4 linked regions of the Diceros bicornis minor genome follow. The protein of the gene in region 1 interacts with the protein of each later gene in a pairwise test. Links are inferred from orthologs where the notes say so. Each region holds a gene or a part of one and is shown in the gene's direction. Other genes may lie near its edges. The genes, in order: SFN, MARK3, FOXO4 and CCNH.

Region 1 (6,914 bases):
ACAGGAGGAGTGGCCAGCGTCCTCTTCACTCTGCCCCTCCAGAACTGGTCTCAGTTCCAGAGACCTTCAGGCCTTAGCTGACCTCTGAACTCTCTCAGGTCCCAGCCCAGGCTGGGAGAGAGGGTTTAACTCCAGGCTAGGACTGTCACACCCCTGAACTGAGCCCAGCCCAGGGTAACAATCTCATGGAAACCTTCCCTCTCCCCGGCTGCCACCGCACATGGAGATACGCAGAGTGCTAAGAGCTAAAAAATCATCATAGTGGCCATTTAGCAAGGTCTGGCCAAGTGCCAGGCCCATTTTCTCACCTAAACCTGTGAGGAAGGTGATGTCAGCCTTTTTACAGATGAGGGAACTGAGGCTCAAGGAGGGCGCAGGAATTGCTCCAGGTCTCCCAGCCGAGAGAGCAGCAGGATTTGAACCTGATCTCTGCCCTGGCCTCTGACCCTTCTGCATTACCCAAGGAATGAATACAGCTGCTTCAGGACGAGGGGCTCTCAGAGGGAGAAACCCTAAGGTTAGAGAATGTCCTTCATAGGCAGCAGGGGCTTAGACAAGATCTGTGCTAGCCTCCTTGTTGTAGTGATGGGAAACTGAGGCCCAGAAGCAGGAAGGGACCTGCCCAAGGCCTGATAACAGAGCTGCCATGCAGTCTCAGCCTGACATTCCATTCTCTTTCCAAAAATTCCACAATATGTCCTAGACCAGACTGGTCTAGGAGATGTAGGATACTCAAAACAGCAGTGCCTTGAGGGGAATAAGACTCAGGATAGCTGAATCACTTAAAAGTAGTCTAATATCCCCTCCCAAAGGTAATTAGTAGAGTGAGCTCTTAGCTGGATAATTGAACCCTTGTTCACAACTAACCAGGGGGAGAAGGTGCCATAGCTTCCTCCAGTCACCTGTTTAATTTGATCATTCCAAGACTGAAAAATTTCCTAGGAAGTTCTTTCTGGAATCTAACCAGAGTCCCTGCTGCTACAGTCAGAGCCCTGTCCTCTGTTCTCAGGGGAGATAGATAGCAACTGGTTGCTGTCTTCTCTGTGCCACAACCATTCTAAGCCTGTTATTACCAGTCAAGAAGGATTGGTTGGGGGCCGGCCCAGTGGCATAGCAGTTAAGTTCTTGCATTCTGCTTTGGTGGCCTGGGGTTCGCTGGTTCTGATCCTGGGCGTGGACCTACTCACTGCTCATCAAGCCATGTTGAGGCGGTGTCCCGTATAGAAGAGCTACAACTCCACAACTATGATATACAACTATGTACTGGGGCTTTGGGGAGAAAAAAAGAAAAAGAGGAAGATTGGCAACAGATGGTAGCACAGGGCCAATCGTCCTCAAAAAAAAAAAAAACGACAGATTGGTTGTCTATGGGACCAGAGGCCTTGCGCTTCCTGGTAGGATGGATGTTATAGAGAAGGGTAGGGAGGTCGCAGGCAGGATAAGGAAAGCCCCTGTGGGCTGCAGCCCCAGCTCCTGTCCTGCTGACTCAGGCAGCTGACTCTGGAACTCTGTGCCCTGCCAGGGCCTGCTGCCTCCTGCCTGCCTGGTCTCCTGGGCTTGGGAAATGGAGGCCTGGAGGCAAAGGGAGGTGCCTGAGACAGGAACTGAGTCAGGATCGACAGGCCAGAGCTGGTAGGAGGTGTCAGGCAGCCTGGCTCCCAGATTCACCCCTGAGCTTCTGCAGGGGAGAGAGCGGAGGGAAGGGGCTTCTTTTCTGTTGCTCAGGGCTGTGCTGAGGGCATGGAGCTCGTGGCGTGAACTACCACCAGGTCTCCTGCCTTGAGTGGTAGGAAGAGAATGCAACCTAGAGACAGAAGCAACTCCAAAATTCCTGGGCCTGCCAGACCCTGCCCTCTAGGTTTCTGGTATCCTGGGATCTCCAGCTTTCTCCCAGGACTTGGGAAAGCCTGGGCTGGGTGACTAGTACAAAGGAAGGTCCTTGAGGGCCCTGGGCCTGCATAGGTCAGAGGAATGTCTGAGAGACAGGGAGGAGACAGTGCTGAGTGAGCGCATCTGACTGTTCATTCATCTTCTCGCCCCTGTGGAAACCCAGCTGGGCAGGGTCTGGGCTTTGGCTGAGGCCTACCCAGCTCCATGTTAGTGCTCTGAGTGCATGTGTTTAAACCAGTAAAGTTGGTTGGATTTTTTTCACATGATAATAATAGTTCCCATCCACTCTAAGTGCTTTCCATCAACTTATTTAATCCTCACAACAAGCCCTATTTTACACTTAAGAAAACTGAGACTCACAGAGCTTAAGTCACTTGGCCAAGGCCACAAGAACTTGTAAGAATTGAACCCAGGCAATCTGACTCCAAAGATACTTGGCTATTTTGTCTCTCAGAAAAATAATACATATTCACCCTTGATAACTTGAAGAGAATAGGAAAATCAAAAGGAAAAAAAAATCATAGTCTCACTATGTGGAAATATGCTCTGTGAGTTGGTTATTTTAGTGTACTTCCTTTCCATCATTTTCTGTGACAGTGATCTGATTTGAGCAAAGCCTTTGGGGTGTCAAGCCTAAAATCCCTTCTGCTTCCTTGGAAAAGCTGTAGCATCAGCCCAGAAATGTCCCTACTTTTCCTTCAAAGAGGCAGATCTCATCTTTGGGCCTGAGTTCTGGCCTAAGCCTCCCTCCAGGAGGGGAGGGTGGGTGTTCAGACACCAAGAGCAACCCAGGGAGGGACAGGCCTGTGAAATGGTCCTGGCTCCAGGATTAAGCTGGCTGGATCCAGTGAGGTGAGCCCCACCCCTGAGCCCCATCTGAGCTTTGGCTAGGGGTGGGGCAGATAAGCAGGAACCCACTCTCATAGGTGCAGTACCACCACCTTCGGGTGAAACTCCGCTGACAGGAGGACAGCGCCCCAGCGATCAGGGACAGATGGTTGGCAACAGAGAAGTTTCCATCTCTGAGGCCTCTGCCAGGGGTCAGAGGTGGGGTCATGGTCAAAGGGAAGGGACAGGGAAACTTGTGAGAGGCAGGCCGTAGGAGACAGCACTCAGCTGGGACTGCTGCCCCATAAAACAAAATGGTATGTGTCACCGCCACCTCCTTTTCCTCAGTCCTGTCTTTCTCCTCAGGTTGCTCGTGTCCCCCCTGGGGAACCAAACTGGGCTGAGCACCCAGGTGGCCTGCTTTCAGCCTCTGACAGAGGGCCGGCTGAGTCAGGCAGGAAAGTGGGACAGCCAGCAAGCCGGGCCCCCACCCTCTGTGAGCCCCACTGATACATGATGGCAGGCAGCTTGAAGCGGGCAGGTGACCAGGCGTGGAGAGCTAGAGGATAAGTCCTCAAACAAGTGGCAACAGGCCACCAACTTGAAAGGGAAAATTGTGCTGTGCTGCGATGGGGAAGGTGTCCAACAAACCTACTGGGTGACTAATTACAAAGGCTGGGCTGGAGCGTCAGAGGCCGCTCGTTAAACTCCTCATTAAGTGGCACCCAGAAGCTGCCACCTGCGCAGTCTGGGAGCTCAGAAGGGACAGGACCCTGAGGGGGAGTAAGGACTGGGGGATGGAACCATTTTAGGTAGACTCTGAAGAAGCTTGGATTTCACTTCTAAATCCAGCCTGGAGCTCACAAATCAGAGACCTCGATGGGAGAGAGACCAAAGGAAGTAGGATGCAGGGGAACTTTAGCTGTATGACCTTGAGCAAATCTCATCCCTCTCTGAGCCTTAGTATTCCCATCTCTAAAGTGGGGGTAGTAGCCACAGTCCAGCCCACCTCACAGGGATGTAGTAGGGATTAAATTAGATCATGGATACGAAAGTGCTTGGGAAACTGTACAGCCCTGCCTAAACATAAATTAGCTCACCTGGACCAAGCAGGGAAACGTACATGGCAGGATTAGGAACCCATCCTCCTGCACCTGGCTTTATGGGCTCTGCCTAGGCTGAAGCAGCCAGGTGGCTGAAGCCATCCTTAGCCCCTGGAAGGACACCGTGAAGGAGGATCTGATTTGAGAAACTGGCGCAGCTGCCTAACGTGGGCACCCATGTAATAGAAGCCCTGAACAAGAGGGGGCAGCCTGGAGCCTGGAAAGGTGCCTGTGCAGGTGGGGCCAACGCCCAGATTTCTCCTGCTGACTGTCCTGATGACTCACCCCCACATCCCAGCCCTTTTACCTTTAAGGAAGAGCCGGAAAGGGTGTGGGGAGAAGAGGCGAGGGAGGCAGGTCCTGGGCCCCAGTCCCGCCCTCTGCCCCTCCCCACCCTTCTGTGGGCCAGGCCATCCAGCCAAAAGGCAGGCAGAGAGCAAGAGAGGCACAGAGTCCGGCATTGGTCCCGAGGCAGCCAGTTAGCCCGCCGCCTGTCTGTCTGTCCCCAGAGCCATGCAGAGAGCCAGTCTGATCCAGAAGGCCAAGTTGGCAGAGCAGGCCGAACGCTATGAGGACATGGCAGCCTTCATGAAGAGCGCCGTGGAAAAGGGTGAGGAGCTATCCTGCGAAGAGCGAAACCTGCTCTCAGTGGCCTACAAGAATGTGGTGGGTGGCCAGAGGGCTGCCTGGAGAGTCCTGTCCAGTATCGAGCAGAAAGGCAATGAGGAGGGCTCGGAAGAGAAGGGCCCGGAGGTGCGAGAGTACCGGGAGAAGGTGGAGACCGAGCTCCGGGGCGTGTGTGACACCGTGCTGAGCCTGCTGGACACCCACCTCATCAAGAAGGCCGGTGATGCTGAAAGCCGGGTCTTCTACCTGAAAATGAAGGGCGACTACTACCGCTACCTGGCCGAGGTGGCCACCGGTGACAACAAGAAGCGCATCATTGACTCAGCCCGGTCGGCCTACCAGGAGGCCATGGACATCAGCAAGAAGGAGATGCCGCCCACCAACCCCATCCGTCTGGGCCTGGCCCTGAACTTTTCTGTCTTCCACTACGAGATCGCCAACAGCCCTGAGGAGGCCATCTCACTGGCCAAGACCACCTTCGACGAGGCCATGGCTGACCTGCACACCCTCAGCGAGGACTCCTACAAAGACAGCACCCTCATCATGCAGCTGCTGCGAGACAACCTGACACTGTGGACGGCCGACAACGCTGGGGAAGAGGGCGGCGAGGCTCCCGAGGAGCCCCAGAGCTGAGCCAAGCCTGCAACCCTCCCGGCCCTGCCCTGCCCTCTCCAGTCCCCCACCCCCCTGCAGAGAGGACTAGTATGGGGTGGGAGGCCCAACCCTTCTCCCCAAATGCTCTGCTCCAGCTCAGAAAGGCTCCATAGAGAGGGCTCAGCAGAGCTGAGGTCACCTGGAGCCAGAGGACCCCACTCTTCTTGCAGCTGTGGGGTGCTCCTAACCACTGGGCATCCCACCCACCTCTGCTCTCTGCACCCCCTTCCTCGAGACCTCCACCCGTGAACCGGGCCACTTCTTCCCGCCTCTTGACTCCCTCCTGCTCCTGCCGCGTCTGGATCTTAGGAATTGAGGAGTGTCCCACCCTTGTGGCTGAGAACTGGACTGTGTGGCAGAGGCTGGACATGGGTGTGTGCGTGTGTGACTGTGTGTGAGAGCGAGACTGAGAATGAGAGGGAAAGCATGTCTGCTGGGTATGACCATGTTTCCTTTCAATAAAGTTCCCCTGTGACACTCCTCCTGTCTTTTCCAGTTATTGGCAGAGGACTGGGACTGGGACTGGGATTGGTGTATGATTTACAAACCCTGACTTTGGACCTCTGATTCAGGGCCCTGACCTCCCATGAGGTTGGCTCAGTGACCCGCAGGTAAGACTCAGGGGCCAGGGACTCCAGGTGAGAGGTTGGGGGTCAAGCTCTCTCCATCAGGATGGTCTCAAGCCGACTGGTCTGGTCCCGGGAGGGTCGGGTGAGGCCCAAAGCGGCTCTAAGTCTCCTCCGAGCTGGGCGGAAAGCTGAAGAGCTCAGATCTGAGGGGACAGGAAACCAATGAAGTCTCAGGTGTGAGGTCTGAGGGCAGGGCCGCACGGACACGCTGTAGTGAGCAGCAGTGAGCACCCCAGAATTGAAAGCCGGGAATAGTCCCGTCAGGTGCTCAGATCCGAGCGGAGGGGAGTAGGCTCTGCGGCGGGGGTATGAAGCCGCCATTAAAAGCCCAGATCTGAGGAGGGGAACGCCCCCCCAGCGTTCGGAGCTGGGGACAAAAGGAAATGGGCCGGAAAGGAGGAGGCGCAAGCTGGGTGGGAAGGGCCCCGGGGAGCAGACACCAGTCCCGACCAGCCCAGCTCGCCGCCTCCGCTCCCGGCAGCAACACGCCGGAGCATGCGGACGCAGCGCTGGGTCCCACCTTCACAGCCCCGGGCTGGAGGCGGGCCCGAGGCCGATATCGCCCAATCACGGGAGGGAGCTGCTCAGGGTACCGCCCCCGGGGTCCGACTGGCCAATGGGGGAGTGAGCGGCGCAAAGCGCGCCGCGGCGCGCTGCCCGGCTGAGGGCCCCCCGCCGCCCGCCGAGCGCCAGTGGCGTTGCTTTCCCGGTTTCGCTCAGACAAGTTGTCACCCGCCGACCCCGAGAGCTCGGCATCCTCAGAGCAGCGAGACAGGGCAGGACCGTGAGGAAAAAGCAGTCCCTGCCCTTTGAGTCATCTGCTCAACCGGCGGTGCCTCGTCCTGGCCGGCGGGCAGTGCGGTTGAGAAAAGGCCACTAAGGCGTCCCCACCACACTCCAGAGTCCAGGCAGCCCTGAATTGGTGGCCAGGAAGCTTGGTTTGTGTCCCCGACTGGCTGTGCGCCGTTAGAAAAGCCATTATACTGCCCTGTGCCTCAGTTTCCCCTTCTGTATCATAAGGAGCTTAGACTAAAGGCTCTCTAATGAAAAATGTGGAGTCAGGACTGCCGGGGTTTAGGGATGGCCCCATGGCCTAGTGGTTAAGTTCTGCGTGCTCCAATTAGGTGACCCGGCCTGGGTTTGGTTCCTAGGCGCGGACCTACAGCGCGGCTATGCTGTGGCT
Region 2 (8,036 bases), on another chromosome or scaffold:
GGGCTGCCATTAAAGGCTGATGTGAATTTTTCTGGGGGTCCAGTGGCTGCAAGGGTGGGGCAGGAACCCAAGTAGTGGAGGAAATATTCTTTCCTCAAAAAGAGCTTAGACTTTACTGTTTCTGAAAAAGTTATTATTTGTATTTGGAGGATGTGCTTACTTTAATGGGCAGATAGGAGGCTCCAGGAGAGGTAGTGGGTTTTATTCACCCACTCATCCCTTCTCTCCCCCATTCTTTTGTTGCCTACCTGTCTTTGCAGCCAGCATGGTGTCAGAGCCACCAGACTGGAATCCGAGGGCACTGCCTCCTGCCTAGGGGAGCTGAGCAAGCCTCTTGCCCTTCTTGAGGCTCCACGTCCCTGTCTGCAAAACAGAGGCAATAGTATGAACACTAACACCTTGTATTGTGGGACCCCTTACCAGGGGCTTTTGCATCCGTTACCTCCCATAATGAGCTCAGTACCCAGTGAGGTAGGTGAAGTTGGATGAGGAAACCTGAGAGGTGGAGTGATTCTCTAACTCCAAGACGTTTTTGGCCTAATAAGTCTTGACCTATGTCTCCAGACTCCAAGTCCAGTGCTCATCCCAGGGGAGAACTGAAAAATGCAGCTGCCCGAGAAGGCAGGTCCTCTCTGCTGCAGAATGGTGGACTCTGCACATATGTGCTGGCTGCTCTATGGGCATTATCTTCTTGGATCCCCACAGCAACTGGGTGGCAGGCACTATTATTCCCATTTGACTGATTAAGCAACTGAGCCTCAAAGACATGAAGTTATTTGCCCAAGATCACCCAGCATTCAGGGTCATAGCCAGGGTTCAAATCCAAGGTTCAAACTCCAGAGCCTGCTTCTCTACCACTTCTGTTGTCTCCATAAACCTTTGGATGTGGTTCTAAACAGTAGGCTTTCCCAGCTCAGAGAAGAGTGGGCAGAAGAGAAGGCCTGCTACAGAGAGCTACACTCTCAGGATCTAGCAATGATACCCAGCAGAAGGTCATACACATATGCATCGAGAGCTAGATCTCCATCTATAATCTCCAGCAGATCAGAGAATAGAACATTTCAATAGCCTGCGGCCATTGAGTGCAGGGGCAAATGGCCCTTTCTATCCCCATTTTCCCCAAAATGCAGTGCATCATGGGAACTGATAAAGGGGTAACTATGAGTCCTTAATAAAAACCATTGACATCTCCCTCACAAGGCTGTTGGAGAGTTAGTGGTCTTAGCATAGGTGGCTGGTGCAGTGCCAGGTACACAGCTGGAACTCAGTAAATGCACTATGGACTCAGGCAGTAAAAATCAAAGATGCTGGGAGTGAGGGAGAGCTCACTGGGGGCTAGTGGGGGAAAGCTCCATGGAAGAAGTAAGATGACACGGCTGTATAACAGCAGGGAGAATTCAGATAGATAAGGAAGCCGTTCCAGGCAGGAGAATGGCAGGAACAAAGTGTTGGACATGAGAATTCCTAAGCTGCCTGCTGGCCCTCATGGAGGGCAAGAGTGGCCCCATTGAGGTGAAGAAGGGAACCAGAGTAGTGAATTAAAAGAATAGCAGCCAGCCTGCTCTGATACCTGATACGTTGGGGAGCAGCCTGGGGGGTGGAGTCTGGAATGGACTTCATATTTCCCAGATCCTCCAAGCATCTTTGGCCTACTTGGGGACACACGTGGCCCAGCCCCAACTTTTCCCCTGCCTCTAGGCATGATGACCTCAGGTGTCCCACAATTATCACGTTCCTTCTCTTCTCCTCTCTGTGGCTTTGTTTATTCTCAGTGCTCAGCCCTCTGTCTGTTGTCTGTCAATTACACAAGCACTACAACACACACACTGAGGAATGGCTCCTGGGTCCCAGCAGGTCCCACACCCTCTGTTGCAGAGAGCACAGGCCCTGGGGTCAGGAGATCTGACCACTTGAGATGGTGGTATTGGTTAGGAATGCACTGAGCTGCAAGTAACAGACAACCCAATTGGCATAGCTTAAACAAATGGGTGCTTATTTTTCTTGCATAAGAAGTCTGGAGGAGAGCAGTCTCGGGGCTAGTACAGGTACTCAAAGATTCTTTCCTTCTGATGCTGGAGTGGGGTGGGATACTGAACAGATCTCCCCACCATGTGCCTACACTAGCTATGGAGAAAGGACATGGATCTGGAGCTTGGGAGATGTGGGCCCCATTCTGGTCTGCTGCTCATTATGTGCAACTTCAGACAAGTTACTTCACCTCTTTGAGGCTCAGTTCCTCTTCTGTCGTACAGCAGCAAAGGTAGGACTAGATTATCTTCTGCTTCTGATGTCTCATGATGACCTTTTTTTCTTGACATGAAAGTAAGAACTATCTATGCACATACACAGCATGGCATATCTAGCTACATCTTTTCAGTTTAAGGAGACTGAGAGAGAACCTATTTTAATATGAAGACAGGAAACAAGGAATATGAAAAAGGACAGAAGGCAGTCAAAGAACGACTTCCACATCTTGCCCTTCTGTTCCTTCCAGACCATAGATCCATAGATGTACATAATTCTGGGCCACAGAAGGTCCTACAGACAGAACAACGCTTTGCTTTTATTTCCCCTTCTTTTCTCCTTGTTCTTCTCCTCCTCCTTTTTTTGCTTGTGACACACATGCCTTGCCTCCCATTTCCAGCTCCTTATAGTACCATGATGTCATTTGACATAAGTGCAAGGAAAAGTTCAAAATGTTTCTTTAATTCTAGCCTTTCTGAAAACCAGAAGCATCTTGAATTAAAAAACCAGTCAGCCTCATTTCCTACCTTTTGGCACTCACTGACTCATTATTTAATGTGTTGCTTCAGTGAGAGAAGCATCTAGGCAGAAACTTCATCCCCTAGCTACTTATGGCCAATATGGAATGTTCTGAATCGTCCAAACGCTTTCTCTCAGCTCCTGCCCAAGGCTAAAACCCTTTTGTGGGTCCTCTGGGTGTTTTCCCAGGTAACCTAGTTGACATTCCTGTCATCAGGATGCAGAATCGCATGCCATGCTATGTCCAAACTTGGCCTGGCTACTGCCTACCCCTCCAGGCTGACCTCTTGCTCTCTTGACATTTACCCAAACCCACCGTGTTCTTCCTCATCTCTGTGCCCCTGTACAGGCTGTCCTTCTGCTTGGAATGCCTTCCCACCCATCCTTACCTGGCTAACTCTACTTATGCTTTTAGACTCAGCATAAACACCTCTCTTCCAGGAAGCCCTGACCCAATCCTCCATGTTGGGATAAATGCCCCCGCTGGGACTCTCACAGTCTTGTGCTCACCCACATTTCAGTTGAACTGTGTGAAGCACACATTTAACTAATAAGAATTCAACCACCTCTGCTTGGCTAGAGAGGGACAAAGAAAGTAACATTTTAAACAGGCCTGCCCTTGGCCCAGTGAACACTTGCCTGAGAGGGTGAGATAGAAACATCTCAGTCCTCACATGTTTTTATGTTGGGAGTATCTGCGCTCTCTGGGAATGATTCTGGTGTTTAAAGACATATATGTCTCACAGAGCAGGAACTGTCCCAGCTGTAACAAGACGGTTCATATGCTGGGGGATCAAAAGGGAAAAAAATAAAAATAGAAAAAGAAAAGCAAGACATACCCACTGCAAGGCCTTATTTGTTACGGAAGTTTTAGGATATGGTTCAAATCCCAGCTCTGTGGCTAACCAACTTGGGTACTTTGGTCAATTTGCTGTCACCTGTCTAGACTAGATAACAAGGTGTGTTTGCCCATCTTACCATGAGGCTTAAATGAGGTAACAAATGTAATGTACCCACAAAGTAGACTCTCAGTAACAGTTCACGTTACTCTAGCACGTACTGCTCTCCTTCCTCAGAATCCTGCACCAATGGACAGGCTCTGGGTAGGACCATCGGACATATGCAGAGGAGAGTGGACAAGGAAGCCTTCCAGGGAAGGTAGCATTTCCAGTGTCCCAGGCTGCAAGCGTCCACTTAACTTGGCCCTAGGCTAGGACCCAGGGATGCTTCCAATCCTCCAGCAGCTACATGCTGCTGGATAAGTAAGAAGAGCCTTGTTATAAATGAACTATGGGCATTTAGGAACTGGTCCCTGGGGGTTTCTAGAGCTTTGCCTCGCCCCTCCAAGCCTCCTTATAGCACTCTTCCTTCCGGATGGCATTTAGCTGGGTCCCAGTCCATCTCCCTCCTAACGGCGAGCTCCTCAAGGGCAGGACACGCTTGCTGCCTTCGGGATGCCGAGTCCAGCCCCCGGCTGCTCAGAGCCGGAGGCAGGAAGGGTGACTGAGTCCTCAACTCCCGGGTCACTGTCAATGATACAGGAACCCGGCCTCCCCGCAGCCCCGACCCTATAATTGCTGCCGTGGCTGGATTCGGTGCAGCGCGGTCTCGGGCATGCCACCTCAGGTTGTGCACACCTGAGCAGGCGCTCGATCAACACTGTATAATGCCAACCCAGCAGTGGGACTCAGGCCGCCGCCCAGGGCCGTTTGCCGGCTTTTTCGGAAGCGTCCGCGAGCCCGGAACGCTGGGATCCAGCCAACCCGGCCTTCGGGGGCGACTAGCCATCCCTTCCGGGCCCTGGGCTCCGCCCCCTTGGCCCCGGACTGGACCGAGTCGCCCCTAGCAACAACAGCTGGGCCGGCTTCCTCGGGCTGCGCTGATTGGCCGAACTCCGGGAGGCGGGGTGCCGTCACTTCCGGCATCCGGAGGCAGCAGAGGAAGCCGAGGGGCGGCCATCTTGGGTCTGTGAGGCTCTGAGGTGCCGGGAGAGGCGGCGGCGGCGCTTGTTACCGGGCGGAGGCTGAGGCTGAAAGCGAGCCAGAGGGAGAAGAGTAGCCGGGCGCAGGCGCCGCCTCCGCAGCCCCCTCCATGGTCGGCGCCCGCAGCCCGCGGCGGCCTGTCTTGCGCTCCACCTCCTCCACATCCTCCTCCTCTTCAGGGGCCTCCAGCGGCGCTCTGTGGAGGCCCCGGCGTTGAAATCCGCGGCGCGACGGGCGGGAGCAGAGGAGAAGGCCAGGCGGTCCGGGCCCGCGGGGCGCCCTGAGGCTCGGGGACGCCGGCGGGCCGACCCGCAGCCTGCCGCCGCCGCCCGGGCCCCGCCACCGCCGCCCGCGGGGCTCCTCGGCGCGGCCGCCGGGGCCGGGGGAGCATGAGCCCCGGGACCCGCCGGGGGACGGCCCGGGCCCGGCCCGGAATCTAGACGGCCGTGGGGGAGGGGAGCCGCCCTCCCGAGGCGGCGCTCCAGGACCGCCGGCGCTCGACGCCGCCGTGCCGGCCCCAGGGCCGCCGTTGTTTCACTCTCGCGTTGTGCACAAGTGAGGGAAGTAAGATGTCCACTAGGACTCCGCTGCCCACGGTGAATGAACGAGACACTGAGAACGTAAGTAGCCTGGGCGTTCGCGTGGACTCCCCGGGCGGAGCACGACAGCAGCCTTTGCAGTCGGGTCCCCCAGCCCCGAGCACTCTGAAGGTAGTGGGCAGGCCGGAGGCGCCTGGGGGGACCGTTTCTTGGAGGGGGCAGCCGTCCGGCCGCCGGTGCGGGCCGGGGACGTGCATGCGGGGTTGCGCCGGGTCTGGTTTGTGAACAGAGCCTGCGGGTCGCGGCGTTGCTATCAGTGTTTGGGGCTCTGGGGTGCCGCGCAGTGGGGTTGTGTGCCCGAGCTGTGCAGTGTTTAGTGCTTATTGCACCAAACTCTCCTTCTGAGTTGGGCAGGCAGCTCTTGAGAGGTTGTGAGATTAAAAACATGTTCGTGGTGCTGATTAAAAGTGATTGGGTCAAGTGGACTGTCCTTTATGCCTCGTTCTTTAAAATGACAGTCACTAAAACTAAGTGCCCACTGAGGAGTCTTTGCGGCCCCTTAGACGGAACTCCGAAGCTATTCAGAAGAGAAGTTCTCTGAGAGAGCGCAAACTTCATTGAAGAGTAGCTTCGTTCTGTACGAATCTATTTTGAAGGAGTCAGTTAAGCATTTTTGAAAGGAAGACGTGTAGTAAGGCTGCCCTGCCACTCGCTGCCTAGTTGAGGGACACACGCTCTGGCTTAGCTTTCCTCCTTCCTGAAAAGAGGTTGGCTTAGATGAGCTCTTAGGTCCCTTCCAGCGCTCACATCCTATGATTCTTTAAAAGGAACCTTTGATTTTGTTCATGTAAACCTTTCAAAAAGGCCAGGAACAGCATTTTTAGGGAATGAAAACATGTAGTAGAAATTCCATTGGAGAAATATTGACTGTCCAAGTGCTTTCTTAACTCTTCTCTAGCACTAGGTTCAGAACTGTTCCAATCTAGCTGTGAGTTATCTTCTGTAAAACATGTAGAAAGTAACTTGTAAAGAAACTTCACTGCCTTTTCATTATAAATGTTATGAGGTAATTCCTGGCAAGAAAATGCCATCACTTAGGAAAAACTTCCTTGCTCTGCCTGTTTTCATGCTTTCAGTGACGGCCTGAGACATTGTGGGCTAGTGGTATCAAATACCTTCATTTTAATCTTCAAAATGCCACTTGTTTGCTGGATAGTTATTAGGTGATTTAATGTGTTTATGTAAGCCTTGGTCTAAAGCATCCTTATAGTAAATTGATGTATAGTACTTAATGCTCTTTAACGTGGTCAGTAAGTAGTACAGTGCTGTATGTGCCTTTACCTCAGATGGGCTAGAAAATTACGTAAAGAGTGAGTAATAGAAAATTGTAGACTAGGTGAGTCAGCCAACTCATTTTCTTATAGACTTTTTGAAGAACCTATTTCTGACCTGTCGTTTTCCTGTTCTTTGACTGTCCTGTAGAGTAGAGCAAGCAAAAAAGTGAATTGCTTAGCTTTGATCATTGACTTTCATTCAGAGAAGCAAAATCTTGAACCAGAGCAGGAGCTCCATACTCCCTAAATAAACTGAAGCTAAAAACAGTCATAGCGGATTTGTAATAATAAAGGATTTACACCAATGGGTCTTTACCTTGTTCTCTGGAGAATTTGTTGAATTAACATTGTAATCTTTTTGTGTGTCATTAGAAATTACTAACTTTATTCTTTAAAAACAACGTAGGGTATGGAGTGTGCCTTTATTCTCATGGAATGTATTTAAAATGGAATTTTTGACTGTTAAAATCAGAGGTTTGTGGCACTTCATTGCATTAATTCACCATGCCCTATTCCATTTTTAACCCTGGTATTGGCATGTTCTGGGAGTAGTTGCATGTCTTTCACAGTGTGATGCCCTTGTGTCAGTGTTACACATTTGGCATATACCGTATTATTTACCTATCATTACTGAACTAGGTATTAGACTTCCTGCCAGTTGTGTGGTGAGGGTACAAGAATGAATGGGAGCTCTCAGTCTGTTCAGCAACTCTTTTGTTAAGGTCAAGTTTATTGAGATAGAACATAGACTCTTGAAGTGTACAGTTTGATGAGTTTTGACATCATCACAGTCAAGATATAGAACATTTTCATTGCTCGAAAAGGTCCCTTGTGGCCCCTTTACCAGTCAATCCTCTCTCCCTTCCCCTAGCAACCACTGATCTGTTATCTGTCCCTATAGTTTTACCTTTTCTAGAATGTTATATAATTGGAAACGAATCATATATAATCTTGTGTCTGGCATCTTTCACTTAGCATCATACTTTTGAGATTTATTGATGATTGTGTGTGTATCAGTAGTTCATTCCTTTTTATTGCTAAGTAGTCAGTAGTTCATTGTTTGGTTGTACCATGGTTTTTTTAATCCATTCACCAGTTGATGGACCTTTTGGCTATTATGACTATAACAGCTTTGTCTTTCTATGTTGTAAAAAGACTTTCCATTTTGCTTACCCTAGGAATCTTACTTAAATTTTAAATAATGATATATAATTGTGATAAGCATGTTGCTTGTAGATCAAGAATAATAAAAGGCAGATAATTTGCAACAGGAATATTAGCTTCATCCTAGTACACTGCTCTGTTTTCTTTTTTTTTAATGAATATTTGATAGTGGGTGTTTTTATTTTTTTTTTTAATTTTATTTATTTATTTTTCCCCCAAAGCCCCAGTAGATAGTTGTATGTCATAGTTGCACG
Region 3 (8,928 bases), on another chromosome or scaffold:
CCACATGAGAAATTTCTTATGGAATTCAGAGCCAGCAATGGGCTATTATGTAGCTGTTAAAAATTATAATTCTGGAAGACTAAATATGAAACGCGTTTACAATATGTTCACCGAAAAGAAAAACAGAACACAAAATGGTATATAGACTCTAATTGCAGCCATGTAAAATTATTTGTGTCTGTGGACAAGGACTGAAAGCTGATAGGCAAAGATGAAAATTGTATGAGGGCAAGGGGACTATAAACGTTTTGTTTTATCAAAAATTTTTGTTTGCTGTAGCCCTGTCTTTTCAGTTGGGGGAGAAAAGAATTTAGTGACAGGAAAATCTCTCTCTCTCGAGGAACGGCTATGTGTCTTTCCTTCTGATAACAATAATTGTGTATTTTACTCTGTTCTCCCTTTTCCCTGGCTGCCCCAAAAGGTGAATTTAAGGTTCAGCCATCGCACATTAGCTCCCTCTTCCTTTCCATGCCTCTGATGTTCTTCTTCTTTTCTTTTTTCTTTCTTTCTTTTTTTTTTGGTGAGGAAGATTGGCCCTGAGCTGACATCTGTGCCCATCTTCCTCTATTTTGTATGTGGGACGCCACCACAGCACGGCTTGATGAGCAGTGCATAGGTCCACATCTGGGATTCGAACCTGCAAACCCTGGGCTGCCGAAGCGGACCACAGGAACTTAACCACTATGCCACCAGGCCGGCCCCTGATGTTCTATTCCTATAATCTTAGGACATTTGTACTCTTATTATGGTAAAGTGCCTCAAATCCCTTATAGAAAGAGGCAAAATATAAAGCATATTTCCCAGTTTAAAAGTTATACACATTCATAGTAAATTGGAAAAATATAAGAAAGTAAAAAGAAAAAAGATAACAATTGTTAACACTTTTTGGCATTTCCTATCTTTTCTCAATGTGTTTTAAATAAAATTATGAGCATACGGCACATAAAGTATTGCATCCTGCTCTTTTCACGTAACTTTAAAATATAAGCACGTTTTCTTGTATTGGAAACTCTTTGGTTAATAATTCTAGTAAATATCATGCCAGTAGGACTTTCAAAGGTTGGAACCATAGAGGCCTGCAGGAAGAGTTAAAGAGGAGGCTCAAAGGTCAGTTCAGGCGAGCCCCAAACCTGAGAGATGCAGCTTTTTGACCTTGTTCCTGCAGGGAGCCAGGACCGAATTTGTGTGGGTGTGAAGTGAAAGCTCAGGGTAGCCTACGGCCAAAAGGGCAATCTGGGGTCTGGTTGAAGATCATAGGAAATAGGATTTTAGAGGTTATCCAATACAACATTCTCATTTTGCAAAGCCGGAAGAGGTGAATTGACTTGTGTAGGCTCTGGAGTCAAGACTGCCTGGATTTATACCTCTGCTCTACCACTTAGCAACTCCAGACCTTAAGTAGGTTCCTTTACCCTCTCTAGGTCTCATTTTCTTCTGTGAAATGAAAATAGTAATAGCATTTAACTTACATGCTTACTGTGTGGATTAAATCGGATAATCCATGTAAAACTCTTAGCACAGTGCCTAACACATATGAAAACCCATAAATGTTACTTATTAATAGTAGTGTAATTATTGTCATTATTCAATTATTTAGTGACAGAGCTATGACAAGGACTCAGCTCTCCTGACTCAACCTAGTGCTTTTCACTACATCAGACTGACTTTTAGGGTCCAGAAAGGAATGATAGTTGCCTCCAACTCAGTAGTGGTGCTAACTCAAATCCTCTTGGGGCTAAACCTGAGGACTTTAGTCTGAGGTGCATTTTATGTAAAAGCATCTAGCCTGGTGTTTGGAAAATAGTAGGCTCTTACAAAATGTTTATTAACTTAAAAGATTTTTTAAAACAACAGCAGGGTTGGGAGAGTGGTACAGGCTTCTAAGAGAAGGACTAGAAATCTTTCACAGAAACACATAAGGCAGGACTTATGGAAGAGGGCTACCAAAAACATGTACATTCCATACCCATCTGTGAAGACCAAGGACAAGCAGAGGTGGTGCTTTCTGAGATTCCTTGAACTTTCTCATTGTTATTTTTGTTAACTCCTGCATCTTTCCCTGTAGTCACTAGCAAAAATCCTATACAAACCCCAGGTGGAGGTTGTGTGTTTTTCAGAGCTGGGCAGGGTAAGAAAGAAGCGGGGAAATGTCTATCTCAATTCAAATTAATAAAGCCGGTTTGGCAGCAGGCTTGGGGGGTGGCACCCAGGTAGAAGAGTGGGCAGTGGCAATGAAAGAGGCAAGAGAGCCAAACCCCTATGACCTTCGAGAGGAAAAAAACAAGTGTTGAATGGGGAGCTAGTTGAGACCACAAACTCAGAGGTTGCAACTGGGAAAAAGGCCTGTGCCCCACCCCCCCATATCCTGCCATATCTGTTCATAATTTATGACTACAGTGGCTTTCTGGGGGTCTCCTGTTAGTCTTCTTTCCTGACCAGTGTCTCTTCTATTTTCCAAGGCCACATTGCTAACTCTGTCTCTTGACTAATGTATATTCTAACACTCCCACAGTAATAAGGGGGAGACAACATGCCCTCCTGAAATGAAAAGCCATGTAACCACAAGCACAAAATTAAAGAATACAAACTGAGTTCATAGAGGTACAGGAGATGCAAAGTAGGTAAGTGATCTGTCAGGTTGGGCTAGTTGGGGAAAGTTTCCAAGAGTACGTAAGTTTTGAGCTTTGAATTGGAAATTTAAAGAGGCGATGGACATGAGTTGGTGGAAAAGTGGCCCTTTTCAAACAAATGCACAAAGAGAGACAATGCAAGATATAACTGAATCCAGGACAGGTGCCTGCCCCACCCTGCCATTTCCCTGCCTCAGCAGCTCTGCATGATCTGCCACCACATCTGTTTCAGTTAGAAGAGAGCTCCTTGTGACCTAGTGCCCACCAGGCTCTCTCTTCTACCAAATTCCCCACTCTTGTGGCACCTACCAAGTACTCCAGGCTGTGCTGCAGGAGGAAGAGGCATATGCAGGAAATGTTTGCCAGGCATTGTGAGCAACTATGTCCCATCTCTCGAGTCTGGACCTCAGGTAGGAATACACGGTCTTTTGTTTACTCTCTACATGACAGATGGAGGACAAATGTATGTTGGAGTAGAGGGAGGCAGGAATATGTAGAACCAAGTTTGTTCTGTTACCGTAAGCAGACTAACATCATTTTGGAGGCCCAATGTGCTGCTGCCTTTGAAAAATCCCAGGTTGTATGGATATCCTTCCTGACAGGGAGAAGGTCTGGTCATCACAGAGCACGTATCAAGCAACACTGCAAATGGTATAATGCTAGGCACTGTACAGACAAGTTAAATTACAGTCCCTACCCCTAGGAGCTTGCTGTCTAAAGGGAAAATTGGGACATGGCCAGGCAGAAAATACATATGATACATTTATTAAAAAGTTGTCGAATGTACAAGTGCAATGTCATTTGATTCCTGATCCCATTCATTCGACCAACATTTATTGAATGTCTCCTCTGTGACTCCAAGCTGGGGTCACAGAGATACACAAAACTTGTCTCTGCCCTCAAGGAGTTCACAGTTTAGTAGAAGAGACATACATGTAAACAAATAATGACAATACAACATGGTCTGTGCTATAGAACATAAGCCTGCACAAAGTGGTTGGGAATGCAGAAAAGGGAGAACTAACTGCACCTGAGGGAGACAGGAATGGTTAAATAGGAGTGTTCCAGAATAAGAGACTTGGGGAGGGGATGACGAGAGGGAGGACATCCCAGGATGTGCAGGCAAAGGCATAAAAGGGTATGGTATTTCCAGGAAATAGTGTGAAACTCTGACTCATTGGAACTTAGTGCGCCCAGTGAAAGATGAAGCAGGAAAGGTGGGAAGTGGTCTGAATCTGAGGAGACCTGTATGCCTTGCTAGGGAGTTTGAACTTTATCACATAGGCAATGGGGAAAATCAAAGGCAGTTTTAAGCAGGGAAATTATATGATCACATATAAGTGATATGATCCCAGTTCTCCTGCCTCCTAGCTGTGTGACTTTGGGCAAGTCACTAAATCTCTGAGCATTAGTGTCATCATCTATAAAATGGGGATAATAGTGGCACCTACCTCGCAGGGTTGATTTGAGAAGTAGAGGAGCTAATGTATGCAAAACAATCAGCACAGTGCCTGGCCCATAATAAGTGCTCCATAAATTTTAGTTAGTTATTGTTATGAGCAGAGTTTCTTAGAAAGGTAACTTTGTTGGCAGCATAGAACATAAACTGCAGTGGGGAAAAGATTGATGGCAGGAGGTCCGATTAAGATGATATTGCAGGGATGGCCCCGTGGCTTAGTAGTTAAGTGCACGCGCTCCGCTGCTGGTAGCCCGGGTTCGGATCCCAGGTGCACCGACGCGCCGCTTGTCTGGCCATGCTGAGGCTGTGTCCCACGTACAGCGACTGGAAGGATGTGCAGCTATGGCATACAACTATCTACTGGGGCTTTGGGGGAAAAAAAAATAAATAAAATTATTTTAAAAAAAGATGATATTGCAACTTAATCCAGTGATAAATAAGGTCTTGAACTGGGATTCGGATGTGGGAAGTTAGGGAGATGAAAAGGTGAAGGGTAAGTTTAGCTTGGAAGATTGGGTAGATCAGGACAACCATTAACCAAATTCAGAGATAAGGGTAGCCAGAGGATAGGGGTGTGGGTGCAGGAATAGATAAACGAGTTCAGTTTGGGACCTGTTGAATGAGAAGTGAAGCTGCCTAAGACGGGAACCCAGAGAATATCAACATTTAAGGGGAGGCCAGAAGACCCAGTGGAGAAAACTGGTCTGCGACTGCACTGTCAGTGTGAACTGCGTATGGGAGGTTGAAGGGGCTGAGGGAGATGCTACCATCAGCTAACCATTTGTTTATGTTACACAAGCACTCAACTCCCCAACATGCATACAGCCTCTTTTCTAATCAGTTCTTTGGTTCTCAGTTTTGTTTCTTGTAGATACCACATTTTTTTTCCTTTTGCCCTCTTTTAACTGAAAGAGGGAAAGGTCTAGCATCTCTCAACACAGTCACCTAGGCGACCCTGAATCACAAGAGAGGAGGTGGGAAGCGGGGAAAGGAGGAAAATGATTTTTAAAAAAAGAAAAAGAGTCCGCGAAGATCTCTAATAACTAAAGTTCCACCTCCCTATATCCTGCCACGCCGCTCTCCTGCCGCCCTTATCGGGCTCCTGGCCGCGAAGTAGGACGGGAAATGTAGTCCTCAGGCCTGACCGGGTGGCACGACTGAAGAACTCAGTTTCCCAACTGCCTCTCCAGGCGCGTGCGCAGATGGCTGCCCCGGCGAGTGGTAAACAGAGACGTGAGGCGGGGGCTGCTGCTTGGAGCAAAACAAAAGGGAAACCCGGGGGGCGGGGGGTGGGGGGGTTGATAGGGGAATTGGTGCGGGAATAAGAGGGCCAGGGGCTGCGGGGACGTGGACCTTATCAAGAGTGGAGGGAAGGGAAGAGGCGGAGGGCGGGGGAGTCAGGGGAGGGGCAAGTGACGCGGGGGAGCGGGGCGTGGGGGAGGGCAGTGATCCGGGTGGAGGAAATTTGGGAGGAGTGTCCGGGGGGCAGCAACTTAAAAGGGAGAGGGAACTGCGGCTCAAGAGACGTTCGGTGATGGGAGCGCAATGTATGAGGGGATACCGTGCCTCAGGTTTAAAAGAGCAGGAAGCTGAGTGAGAGGTTGGAGAAAAAGTGTCTTCGCTAGGCGGAGGTTACAGGTGGTGTCTCGGAAAGAGCTCTTGAGGCTGCAGGCTGTAGTCGAGAAGAGGATCCGAGAACTGTGTGGAAGGGACAGCTTGGGGGCTGGCGTCTTGGGGCGAGGGGGAAGTTCGCGACTTTCTGAGGACTGGCAGGAATGTGCCTCCTGGCCCTTAGTGCTTCCCCCCTGGGGGGAGGCATCGTAAGGGACTGTGGCAGGCTCCTCTGAACGCTGAGCGGCGGAGGTCCAACTCCACGTATGGATCCAGAGAATGAGAATTCAGCCACAGAGGCTGCCGTGATCATAGACCTCGATCCCGACTTCGAACCCCAGAGCCGTCCCCGCTCCTGCACCTGGCCCCTTCCCCGACCAGAGCTTGCTACCGAGCCGTCCGAGCCGCCCGAGGTGGAGCCAGGTCTGGGGGAGAAGGTACACACGGAGGGGCGCTCAGAGCCGATCCTGTTGCCCTCCCGGCTCCCAGAGCCGGCAGGGGGCCCCCAGCCTGGGATCCTGGGGGCTGTAACAGGTCCTCGGAAGGGAGGCTCCCGCCGGAATGCCTGGGGAAATCAGTCATATGCAGAACTCATCAGCCAGGCCATTGAAAGTGCCCCAGAGAAGCGACTGACACTCGCCCAGATCTATGAGTGGATGGTCCGCACTGTGCCCTACTTCAAGGACAAGGGTGACAGCAACAGCTCAGCAGGATGGAAGGTAACTATGACCCCCTTACCTCCATCCCAATACTATCTGCCCCTGGGCCCCCTAGCCTCCTTACTTCTACTCTGGGGCCCCTTTTACACCCTCACCTCAGAGATTCACCTTCAGTCGTCAATTAGACCAACATTTGCTTAGGAAATAATATATGCCACGCTCAGTGCTTGATGCTGGAGTGTCACAGATGAATAAGACACTGTCCTTGCCCTGGAGAAAATTGAATTCTCTGCTCACTGCTCAACACTCCCAGCACTTTGGCTTGGGCTGCCCCAAACACTTATTCCCACAGAGAAGTCTTTATCCTATGTACAGCAGGAACTGTGTGGATTCCCCACAGGAGCCTAGCTTGCCCTCCTCCCCCGCCTCCCACCCCAACACCTTTTCTCCCATTCCTGTGGGATTACTTGGATTCCCCGCTTACCTCCCAACACCTCAGGGTAGAGGTACTGTTGTACCCAAGAAGAGGGAGTGGAGTGGAAAAAGAGAAGAAGAGTGATCTTCATGGGGTAAGGTAGCTGATCTTATGCACCAAGAAAAAAAGGCTGTGAACTGCTACCTGCTCAGTTTACCCTATAATGCCAAGAAACTCTCCCTTGTAAGGAGCTATCCAAGTTTGGGAGGAAAGTTTTCTTTTACTGTTGAGGAATGTTAGTCATGAAAAAAAGAGATAGGGCTCTGACTTCATAGCACAAGGTTGGGAGTTCCCTTGGCCTTCCATGAAGAAACTGTGAGAAAAGATCTCACTAGATGCTCTGAAAATGTGTCCTGAGAAATATGGGGCTCTATTCACGAAACTGGAGAGCTTCAACCCCTATGGATGTATCTTGTATCCTCATAGGTGGTGAGGTCAGCATACAAGGAAGTACAGAGGGTTGAGTGAGCAGAGGTTCTTCCCGTAGGTATCAAGGGATCAGATCTGCAGTATCCTAGGGGTTGGGCAGAACAGAAAACAGGACAGCTGACTGAGACCCTTGGCACTATTTCTGGGTAGACTGCCACGCCACAGTCGCAGCTCATAAAGAGCTCCCCTCCTTGGACCCAGCCTACACAGCTGTTTTTCTTTTCCCTTAGGTTCATTTTCCAGGGTAGGAGAAATAATCATGAGTTGTTAGTTTTGCTGTGGGAGTGTAGTCTCTCCTTCTAATTTACACTTATATGGGGCTCTTTAGTTTACAAAGTAGTTTTTAAATTTTTTATTTTATTAATCTTCACGGCAATTCTGAGATTCCACATTTTACATATTAGGAGCCTGGTATAGAAAAGTTAGGAAACTCACCTGATATCAGTACAATAAGGACTTGAACTCAGGTCTAACTATAAATCATATGCTCTTTCTGCTAGTCCATGCTGCCAAATTCTCTTCATTGAAATGATGGCAAAGCCAAATCAGGATGAGCCTGGGGTCTCCAAGGCTCTCACCCCCACTCCTCATCCTCACTCCACCCCAGGAGGGGAAGCCTCACTCCTGAACTGGCTTTCCTAGTGATGGGCCAAGGTTACTACCACCCCACCAGGGGGCGGCACTAACTTAGAACAAGAAAGCTTAGTTTAGGTGGCTTGGGGAGCAATTAGCAGTCACCCCGCTTCCAACAGGTAAGAATTAGAGGCTTCTAGGGAGCTGACCTCTCCAGGTAGGAGGCTGTACCGTGTACTAGTCCCAAGGCCTAAAGAAGAGGGGATGAACAAATGGGCCTCATGTGTATTTAGTAGTAGGGAAAGGAATGGGCCTTCTCAGTAGACCCAGAGTTAGAGGACAAAAAGGGGGGAAATCTTGGTGCCAGAAGTCACTGTGGTCCTCGGTTACTAAGAGCCCAGGTTGGATGGACAAGTGTGATTTTTTTTTGAAGGAACTGAGTATTAATGCAGCCAGAGTAGTTGGAGTGCCATTATTGCATGGTCCCAGGGAGACTAAGAGTTCTTTGGCTAAAGAGCCCTGGAACAAGAAGCTACTTAAGCATCTTTTCCTAGGCAAAGGGTCTCCTTATCTAGAAACACATGAAGTGATTTCTGACTGTCTATAGCCTCAGCTTCCTAGTTGTTCCAAGCCTTTCTGGGCTCCTCCTGAGTTTCTAAACACTGAAGAGCTCCATGTGGGAGGTCAAATGCCCCTAAGGTTGGAGATCTTTTGCACAAATTCCTGAGGGGAAGTGGGGGAAAGGAGGTAGAAAAGAGAAGGGAGGTTGGGGGTGGGGCACACAAAAGGATGGTGTAACTAGCCTGGAGCAACTAGTAGAAATAAGCTGCTCTGGGGGCTCAAGAAGCTGCCAATCTCTGCTCCCTGGGCCCCTGGAAAAAAAGACTTATCTCTAGCAGAATATCAGCAGCCAGCAGTGAGGGAGGAAGGGAGGACACATAGCTTCTAATACCCAAGGCCTCAAGAGCTGACAGAGCCTCAAGGAGAGCCTCACCACCGTCACCCGGGGGCCATCCACTAATCAGGCAACAAATATTAATTATGTACTTGGAGCTTGCCACTGTGAGGGGGCACTGCTGGGGGCTGCCCGAC
Region 4 (7,945 bases), on another chromosome or scaffold:
ACATCCATTAACTAATTTAATCCTCACAACCTCCTTATGAAATAGCTACAACTATTTTCTTCACTATTCAAAGGATGAAACTCAGAATAAAATAGATTGAAATGACTTTCCCAGGAATACACAGTAGCAAGTAGTAAAGCTGGGATTCTGATTTCAGATCCTGAGCTCTGAAACACTAGATCTACTGAGTCACAAGTGAAATCTTTCCATCCTGTTAAACTGCTATAAAACTGTGTTGGAAATGATCATGTGGTACTTTATATAATAGAGGTTTTCACTCTTGATTAATTGGTATTAAAAAAGGATAAGGTGGTAACAGATCACTCCCAATCATGGTTGTAACAAAACCAAGGCAATTCTGTTTTTTGGATTAACAGTGATTTAAAAAAAAAAAAAAACCCACAGGAATTTTCTTGAGGTTTACCACCTACCCCTGGCTAGCAGAAGAGCCACTAAGCCTTTGGACTAAACTATGGCTGTTGGGGCTGAATTAAGTAGACTCTGGGTGTTCTATTTGTTTCAAACCACCTCAGGGTCTTGTCTACATTAGTACCAGGCATCAACACTCAGGGACAAGAAATCTTATTACTCTGTACCCTACTGGGCCCTACACAAGGTTACTGTCATTGAGAGGGGACTGTATTTGTGCATGTCATAATCATTCTACTACACTCTAAGGCCCCTGCGGTAGGAACTGTGAAATAGCCATTTTTATGTCCCCATCACCATCATCACCACCACCTATCACTTAGTACCAGGACTTGAGTATAGTGGTGACTTAGTAAAATATGCTGAATTGGACATGGATTTATAGAATTTGCTCCTCAATATGTTGTCAAGCATCTTCACACCTTTATTTTAAATAGTGCTAAGACAAAAGAAAAAGTGTCCCAATTTTTGAGGGTTACATTTAGATCAAGGATATTTTGTAAATGCTGTTTCTTCTTTTTTATTTGTTTTCCTTTAGTAGTAACTCTGTTTTGGAGAAACTAGGTATTTGCTGCAGGCAACTCCTTTTCTTCTCTTAGTCATAACTTGACAACTAGGAAAAGATTTTAGAGCCAATGCTAATTGTACATATCAAACAGAATTGCAAAGGCCTAACAGCTTTTGAATATCATTGCAAAGCTATATTTTGAATGTCAGAAACCCATGTCAGTAGCTGAAGGGGTACAGTTTCATGTCAGATTTTAAAGTAAGAAAGATACTATGTGTTTCTGTGAGCACAGATGTAATTTATTCTCCCCCCTCCCTTTTCTTCTTTGTGGCCCTGAAATCAGAAACCATGTGGATATGAGTATACTGATGTGTTTGGGAAATAACTATAAATTAATCAGGCCACATAATAAATTATTACAAAATTATTCCAAGTTCCATACATATTTATTGGTCACTCCTTCACCCTTCTCACTCCCCTTTTCTTCCTTTACTCCTAAGATCAGGCAGTCTGATCTTTATTTTTCCCAAATCGTTAAGATCACTAGGGCAGAGCCTGAAGAAGAGGGAAGCTTCTCTTAAAGCAAGAGAGAGGAACTCCTAATACTCTCATAGGAAACCGACATAGCATGTGGGTAAACCGGCATAGCATGTGGGTAAGCCCAGAGCCTTTCCACGGTGACCAACTGATGACATCTGCTCTGCATCACCTCATCTCTGATCGGCAAACCAATCTCTGACCGGTTTCACGGTAATGCTGGCAGTCAAAATATTTAGAGGTTAGGGGCCAGCCCCGGTGGCCTAGTGGTTAAGTTTGGTGCTCTCCACTTCGGTTCAGTTCCCAGGCGCGGACCTACACCACTCATCTGCCAGTGTCCATGCTATGGCGATGGCTCAGATACAAAAGAGTGGAAGACTGGCAACAGATGTTAGCTCAGGGTGAATCTTGCTTGGCAAAAAAAAATAATAATAATTTAGAGTTTGTCTATAAATGCATACTTTAACACAGTTTAACAACTGCAGCATAATAAAAGAGATTGTGTTTACTTTAAAAAACTAACTATCATCTTTCCTGTTAACATTCACTTCTGGGTAGTGCCTAATGAAATAGTAATATCTTTGTTTTCAAGTTTTGAATTTTCCTATTACTCTTCTAATAAGATTCTGTCTGTTTTGTTTTTTGTTTATTTGTTTGAAACATCTCCATCTAGCAGCAGGGAAATTATGATTTAAAAGTAATGAGAGTGGGGTGGGAGTGGAGGGGAATTGGTCATGTATTGATAATCATTGAAATACGTTTTTCTCTGTTCCTTATGTTTTAACTTTTCCATAAATAAAATAAAAGTGGAGAGAACAGTTGCCACTTTTTAGTTGGAACTAGAAATGGAAATAGACAAAGGCACCAAGTTCTAAGTCCACAGTCTGCCTTCCATTGTAGAAATAGCAGAAGAAATCAACTTGTGCTTAGCAGGCTGAACAGGGGAATGTCACTCAGGCAGATTGCCTAATGCAGCATCCGGGCTGCTCACCTTAATAAGAAGAAATCATATATGAGCCTTAATGTTAGGGCATCAGCAACAACTTTAGTCAGTAGATGGTTAATTTAGATACAATTCCTTCTACATCCCCAAAATATGGTTAATGTTAATTTTCAAAGACTAAGATTTGTTAAAGGTTTAAAAAAAAATAGTTACACCAGCAACATCAGGTTTTTCATATTTGTCTTCCTAAATGAACTATGACACTCAGCAATTTTATTCTTATCTCTGTGGAAATCATATTCTGCCATCTCTCCCAAATGCCCATTTTTATTTCCCTTTACATAAAACAAAAGAAGTTGTCAAATGCCTTTCAGGAAAACAAAATAAAAAGAATTGAAATGGTATATATAACTGTCACAGGTCTAAGATTTTATACATACACTCATTTACCTAAATCACTTCTTTTCCTGCCTATCTTTTGTACCTTTGTTTTTCCTTTTAAATTATTCTTCCCCATTATACAATCTTTTAGGGTGCTCACAATCCATGGGACTCATAACTTGTCATGCCCCTCCTTAACATAATCACATTTTTCTCTTTCTCTTTATCTCTCTTTCTTTAGCCAATTTACTAGTCCAAATTACCAACGGATGTTCAAGGTGTGTCTGGATCTCCATAGTTATAAACTACAAATGGTATATAAGTTTGAGTAATTCAAATAACTCTGGCAAACTCTACCAACTGCACCCATCAAAATGAAACAAAAAAGAAAAAGCTCTCCCTTTCTTAAGCCCCTAAAAACATTTTCATAGAAAGCAGAGTTAGAGATATCCCACCACCTCTTTTTACCTGTGTGACCTTTTCAACACATAAACTCGGAGTATCATCATCTTTATCTGCTTTTTATCTGTTTTTTTTTTAGAAAAACTACTTGCTGTAGGTAAATCCATCTTTCTAACCTGATGTGTGATACACAGGAAAATAAGATGTCTAAATGGGACAAATACCAAAACTGGTAAAAGCCTTTGGAATCAATGTAAATTTTGTATCTCGAATGCAATTTTGAAAGTACTGGTAATAAAAAACATTGTAAATCTCTCAAGCATTGATGACAACTTATTGTAAGGCTCCCTTGGGGCAATACTGAAGGTGGGAATATCAAGAAAACCCTAAAACTACCATACATCGTGGCTTCAGAGATGGAAATAGGAGGAGGATTGGCTAGTTATCAACGGAAGGCGAAAGAAAAAGACACAGAAAAATAGACAGGGTCACTTTATCGGCAGAACAGCAAAGGACAATACTCATGCACTGCTTCCAGTTTTCCAACCATGTTCCCTTGTCTCTGAGGCCGAGATTTTTCCTAGTGCTCCAGGAATGTTCTTTCTTAAAAGAGCCAGGCATGCTTCTTTGTTAGGCCCTTGCCTGTTCTATCTGCCCCAAGATCACCCCCACCTGGCTGACAGGCCTACTCCCTCAACTCTTTCAAGTCTTTGCTCAAACGTCACCTTAGTGAGGCCTGCTCTGAACGCCCTATTGAAAAGTTGACACTCTCTCAAATCCCTTCCCCACTTCTGATTACCCTGTGTGAACTGTTTATGGTAGCCCTCACACAGCCTCAATTTACGTCCCTTTCCGACGCCCCCCGACTGTCGCTTCCCCTTTAAATCTTGTGGGGGAAAGGGCGGAGCTAGGGCTAAGGCTCCCAGGAAGGAGGAGCGTGTCCGTAGGCTCCGCCCACTTGCGTCGTGGGCGGCGGTCAGCCAGACGCGCGAGATGTTCTCCTCCTAGTCCGCTCCGGAAACGCGACTGCGGACGGAAGTACCACGTGGTTGTGACGTCAGTGCGCCCGCACCGGCCGGCCTGACGTCCTCGGCTTCCGCGGGAGCCCGGTGGAGGCTTAGGTGCTTTACTCTCCGGTGTTGTGGCGTGTGTGGTCTTTCTCTGCGGACGCCCGGGGCGTGGTCTCGGACTTCACCATGTACCACAACAGCAGCCAGAAGCGGCACTGGACTTTCGCCAACGAGGAGCAGCTGGCGCGGCTGCGGGCCGACGCCAACCGCAAATTCAAATGCAAAGCGGTGGCGAACGGGAAGGTGAGGACTCCGGCGGCCGCCCCCTGCCCCGGCCTGAGAGCTGCTGCTGCCCGCCCCGCGCCCGGGGCCGGCCGCTCGTCGGTCTCCCTCCCGCCTCCGCCCCCGCGGCGCGGAGTGCGGGCTTCTGTTTAGTCAACAGGCGCGCCCCTCGCCAGGTGCTGTGGGTGGAGACGGACAACGCCACCCCCGTCGTCGAGGGGCAGACAGACAAGTAACCAGTCACGGGGCGAGGAAGAGACGTTTAGGGTGCTGACGTAGTGCGGGACGAGAGCCGTTCATTGTCAAGAGGGAAGGTCGGGGAAGGCTCTTTCCAGATGGGGAACGGACACTGCAGGCGGACAGAGCCCCAGGTGCAAAGTGGGAGGTCAGAAGTTTCAGGGCGGGTGCCTGGAAGGCTCACGATCATGTGTGGCGGAAGCCGAGTACCTGTGCCTGAAAGGCTGGAGAAGGTGGGCAGGGCACTTGTCAGCGGAAGTGAGGAGTTGGAAGTTACGATGAAGGGATGGGAGTCTTGGAAAGATTTTTAATGGGAAATTAACCTTATCAGATTCAGTTCGGAGAGCCCTCTGGTGACCTAGTGGTGAATGGATTGGATGGGGCAGGGTGGAGGCAGGGAGACAGGAGAGCGTTGGCACAAACCAATTGACTAAAAATGGTTTGGACTACAGCTTGCCAGCCAAGTCTTCCTATTATAGCTCCCACCTCTGCGGTTTAATCTCCCACAAGCTCCACTACCCCTTCTAGCACAAGGTTCCCTTGGGTGAGTAGTCCACGTCTCAGACCTATTGGTAATGAGGTACTTTTACATTTAAGTCACGTATATTTCATGTCACTTTATTTCTGTTCTACATAAAATAGTACATATTGTGCTGTGTGCCAGGCACTATTCTAAGCATTTAGCAAGTGTTAGCTCATTTAATCCTCACAACTACCCCATGAGGTAGATACTGTTATTATTCTCGCTTTACAGCTGAGGAACCTGAGGTACAGACAGGTTGAAGAACTTCTCAAGGCTATGTTGCAAGTAAGTGGCAGGGCCAGGAGTTGAACCCAAGGAATCTAGTTGCAGCATTCCTGCTCTAAACCACAATGCCATGAACACCTGTGTTAGTTTCCTAGCGTGGCCGTAAAAAAATTACCACAAACTGGGTAGCCTACAACAACAGAAATTTATTATTTCACAGTTCTGGAGGCTAGAAGTCTGAGATCAAGGTGTTGGCTGAGCAGAGCTCTCTGAAGCTTGTAGGGGAGGATCCTGCCTTTCCTCTTCCAGCTTCTGGTAACCCCAGGTGTTCCTTTGCTTGTGGCAGCATAATTCCGGTCTCTACCTGCATGTTTACATAATGTTCTCCCTGTGTCTTTGTATCTTCATGTGTCCTTCTTATAAGGATACCAGTCGTGTTGGATTAGGAGCACACTCTACTCAGGATGACCTCATCTTAACTAATTACATCTGCGGAGACCCTATTCCAAATCAGGTCACATTCTGAGGTACTGGGGATTAGGACTCCAACATACCTTTTTTTTGGTAGTTGTAATTAAACCAGTAACAGCACCTAATGCTATTTGTTGTAAAATTGTAGTATTTATTAACCATCTAGTGTATTCTGTAGACAGTTTACAAAGATGGATAAGAGGTAATGTTTTAAGTGTCAGAATTATCCTTGAGACACTTGTTGATTTTTACTTGAACCTGTGTGACTTAATGATTGACTGAGAAAGGGATATTGAAAGCTTTCCAACCATTGACAATGTGTATACTTTTTGATTGATGATTAATGACATCAAACCTGTGAGCAGTATGCACAAACTCCATCATGATTGCTTATACCATAATGAAGCAAATGTCCAGCTGACATTCGGAGAAGTTGTGAAATGATGGTATAGTTTTGGTTTATTATATATTTTCCTAAAGTTATTTTCCTATAAAGTTATAAAGAGAAAATGAGGTGTAGTATATTTCCCTTTGGTTGGAGATCTGGACAGAGAAAAATATGTTAAGATTATTTAACTCACTGATCTTTTGTTTAACTTGATCTAAAGGTTCTTCCAAATGATCCAGTCTTTCTTGAGCCTCATGAAGAAATGACGCTCTGCAAATACTATGAGAAAAGATTACTGGAATTCTGTTCGGTGTTTAAGCCAGCAATGCCAAGGTCTGTTGTGGTAAGTTATGGTAGTGATGAAGTATAATATCTTTTAGCTGACTTCTGAAATCTTACCTCTTCTGAATTTGTGAATCATTTTCTCTATCCACTTTACTCAAAAATGCACCTTAGTTATATAAATGTATAATTCATCTATTGGAGTTTTTGTCACATTATATATTTTTAATAAATGCCTTAAATTATAAATTCCTATATCATATCTTACCAAGTGTTTCAAGTCTCATTTCATAGTCAAAAGAATGTTGAGGTCTGCTAGGCAGGTCATGACATCTTCATTTTATAGAGAAAGAAAAAATAAAATTGAATTACTTTCCCTCCAGGTTCTCAGCTAGTTAGCGAGAGAGCTGGGAGCGGAATGTGGACTAGTGCTTGTTCGACTCTGCCACACGCGTATTTGAAATAACGCACCATGCGTCGTGTGAGCTCACAGGCCCCAGCTGGAACTTTTGCCATGAGAAATTTTTAAACCTCGATTTACAGGTTTAAAAGGATCCTCCCCTACAAGCTTCAGAAGCTGAAATTTATCTTTGGATAAACAATTGTCTCGTAGTTTCACGCGTGATTCTGAGGACCCCGTTTGTGTGTGTGTGTTTACTGTGGTGGGACAGTGGTGAGGAGAAACAGGTAGTGAGACTTTTTGGCTCTATGGGTTTACATACACTGTCTCTGTAATTGTTCCTGTTGTGTGTATTCTTGTTTATAGAAGATAAGATGCAATTAAAAAGCTGAGAGAGAAAAAGGAGTATAAAATTTTTTCCTTATTATCTCACAGGTTTGATGTGAAGATCAAATATGAAAGTCTGTGTAAGTGCAAGTCTATCTTAAGTTTTAAAGTTATACAGAGTGAATAACTTACGACCCAACAGAGAAAAACTCTCTAGGAAATCTCCATTTTTATAGTTGAAAAAATTGAAGTATATTGAAAATATCAAATCCAAAACTATTCATAGTGTTTTCTTAGTTTACCAGACCTTCATCTGAGAGATCAAAGATTCATAAAGAATTTTAGGTAGACTTGAATAGTTTCTGTCTCCAGATTTGGTTCTGTTGTTTTCTGATGAAAGAACTATAACATGAGGTAGTAGGTTTAAGTGATCTTTTCAGATGAAGAAACTGAATCCTTGAATGAACTTCTTAGTGGAATTTGTCTCTATACAACATGCTTATTTATAATTGAAAAGTTTTGTTTTTTGCATCACATAAAATGACACAACTAAACTTTTGAAATATTTAAAAGGAAATACTCTTCTTTTCTGTCATAAAA

The links.
Region 2: the proteins of SFN (region 1) and MARK3 interact in binary tests that used the Homo sapiens proteins (3 or more experiments, as listed by UniProt). The link is inferred for Diceros bicornis minor from reciprocal best matches to the Homo sapiens genes SFN and MARK3.
Region 3: the proteins of SFN (region 1) and FOXO4 interact in binary tests that used the Homo sapiens proteins (3 or more experiments, as listed by UniProt). The link is inferred for Diceros bicornis minor from reciprocal best matches to the Homo sapiens genes SFN and FOXO4.
Region 4: the proteins of SFN (region 1) and CCNH interact in binary tests that used the Homo sapiens proteins (3 or more experiments, as listed by UniProt). The two-hybrid records come from large-scale screens. The link is inferred for Diceros bicornis minor from reciprocal best matches to the Homo sapiens genes SFN and CCNH.

What each region holds. Positions count from the first base shown.
Region 1 is NC_080752.1:42,625,964-42,632,877, forward strand, and holds SFN (14-3-3 protein sigma), read left to right. Parts: upstream 1-4,246; 5' UTR 4,247-4,334; coding exon 4,335-5,081; 3' UTR 5,082-5,582; downstream 5,583-6,914. UniProt on the Homo sapiens protein: Adapter protein implicated in the regulation of a large spectrum of both general and specialized signaling pathways. Binds to a large number of partners, usually by recognition of a phosphoserine or phosphothreonine motif.
Region 2 is NC_080763.1:48,046,659-48,054,694, forward strand, and holds the start of MARK3 (MAP/microtubule affinity-regulating kinase 3), read left to right. Parts: upstream 1-4,716; 5' UTR 4,717-5,314; coding exon 5,315-5,365; intron 5,366-8,036. UniProt on the Homo sapiens protein: Serine/threonine-protein kinase. Involved in the specific phosphorylation of microtubule-associated proteins for MAP2 and MAP4. Phosphorylates the microtubule-associated protein MAPT/TAU. Phosphorylates CDC25C on 'Ser-216'.
Region 3 is NC_080781.1:64,408,865-64,417,792, forward strand, and holds the start of FOXO4 (forkhead box protein O4), read left to right. Parts: upstream 1-5,482; 5' UTR 5,483-5,966; coding exon 5,967-6,419; intron 6,420-8,928. UniProt on the Homo sapiens protein: Transcription factor involved in the regulation of the insulin signaling pathway. Binds to insulin-response elements (IREs) and can activate transcription of IGFBP1.
Region 4 is NC_080740.1:14,503,048-14,510,992, reverse strand, and holds the start of CCNH (cyclin-H), read left to right. Parts: upstream 1-4,270; 5' UTR 4,271-4,396; coding exon 4,397-4,513; intron 4,514-6,556; coding exon 6,557-6,679; intron 6,680-7,945. UniProt on the Homo sapiens protein: Regulates CDK7, the catalytic subunit of the CDK-activating kinase (CAK) enzymatic complex. CAK activates the cyclin-associated kinases CDK1, CDK2, CDK4 and CDK6 by threonine phosphorylation.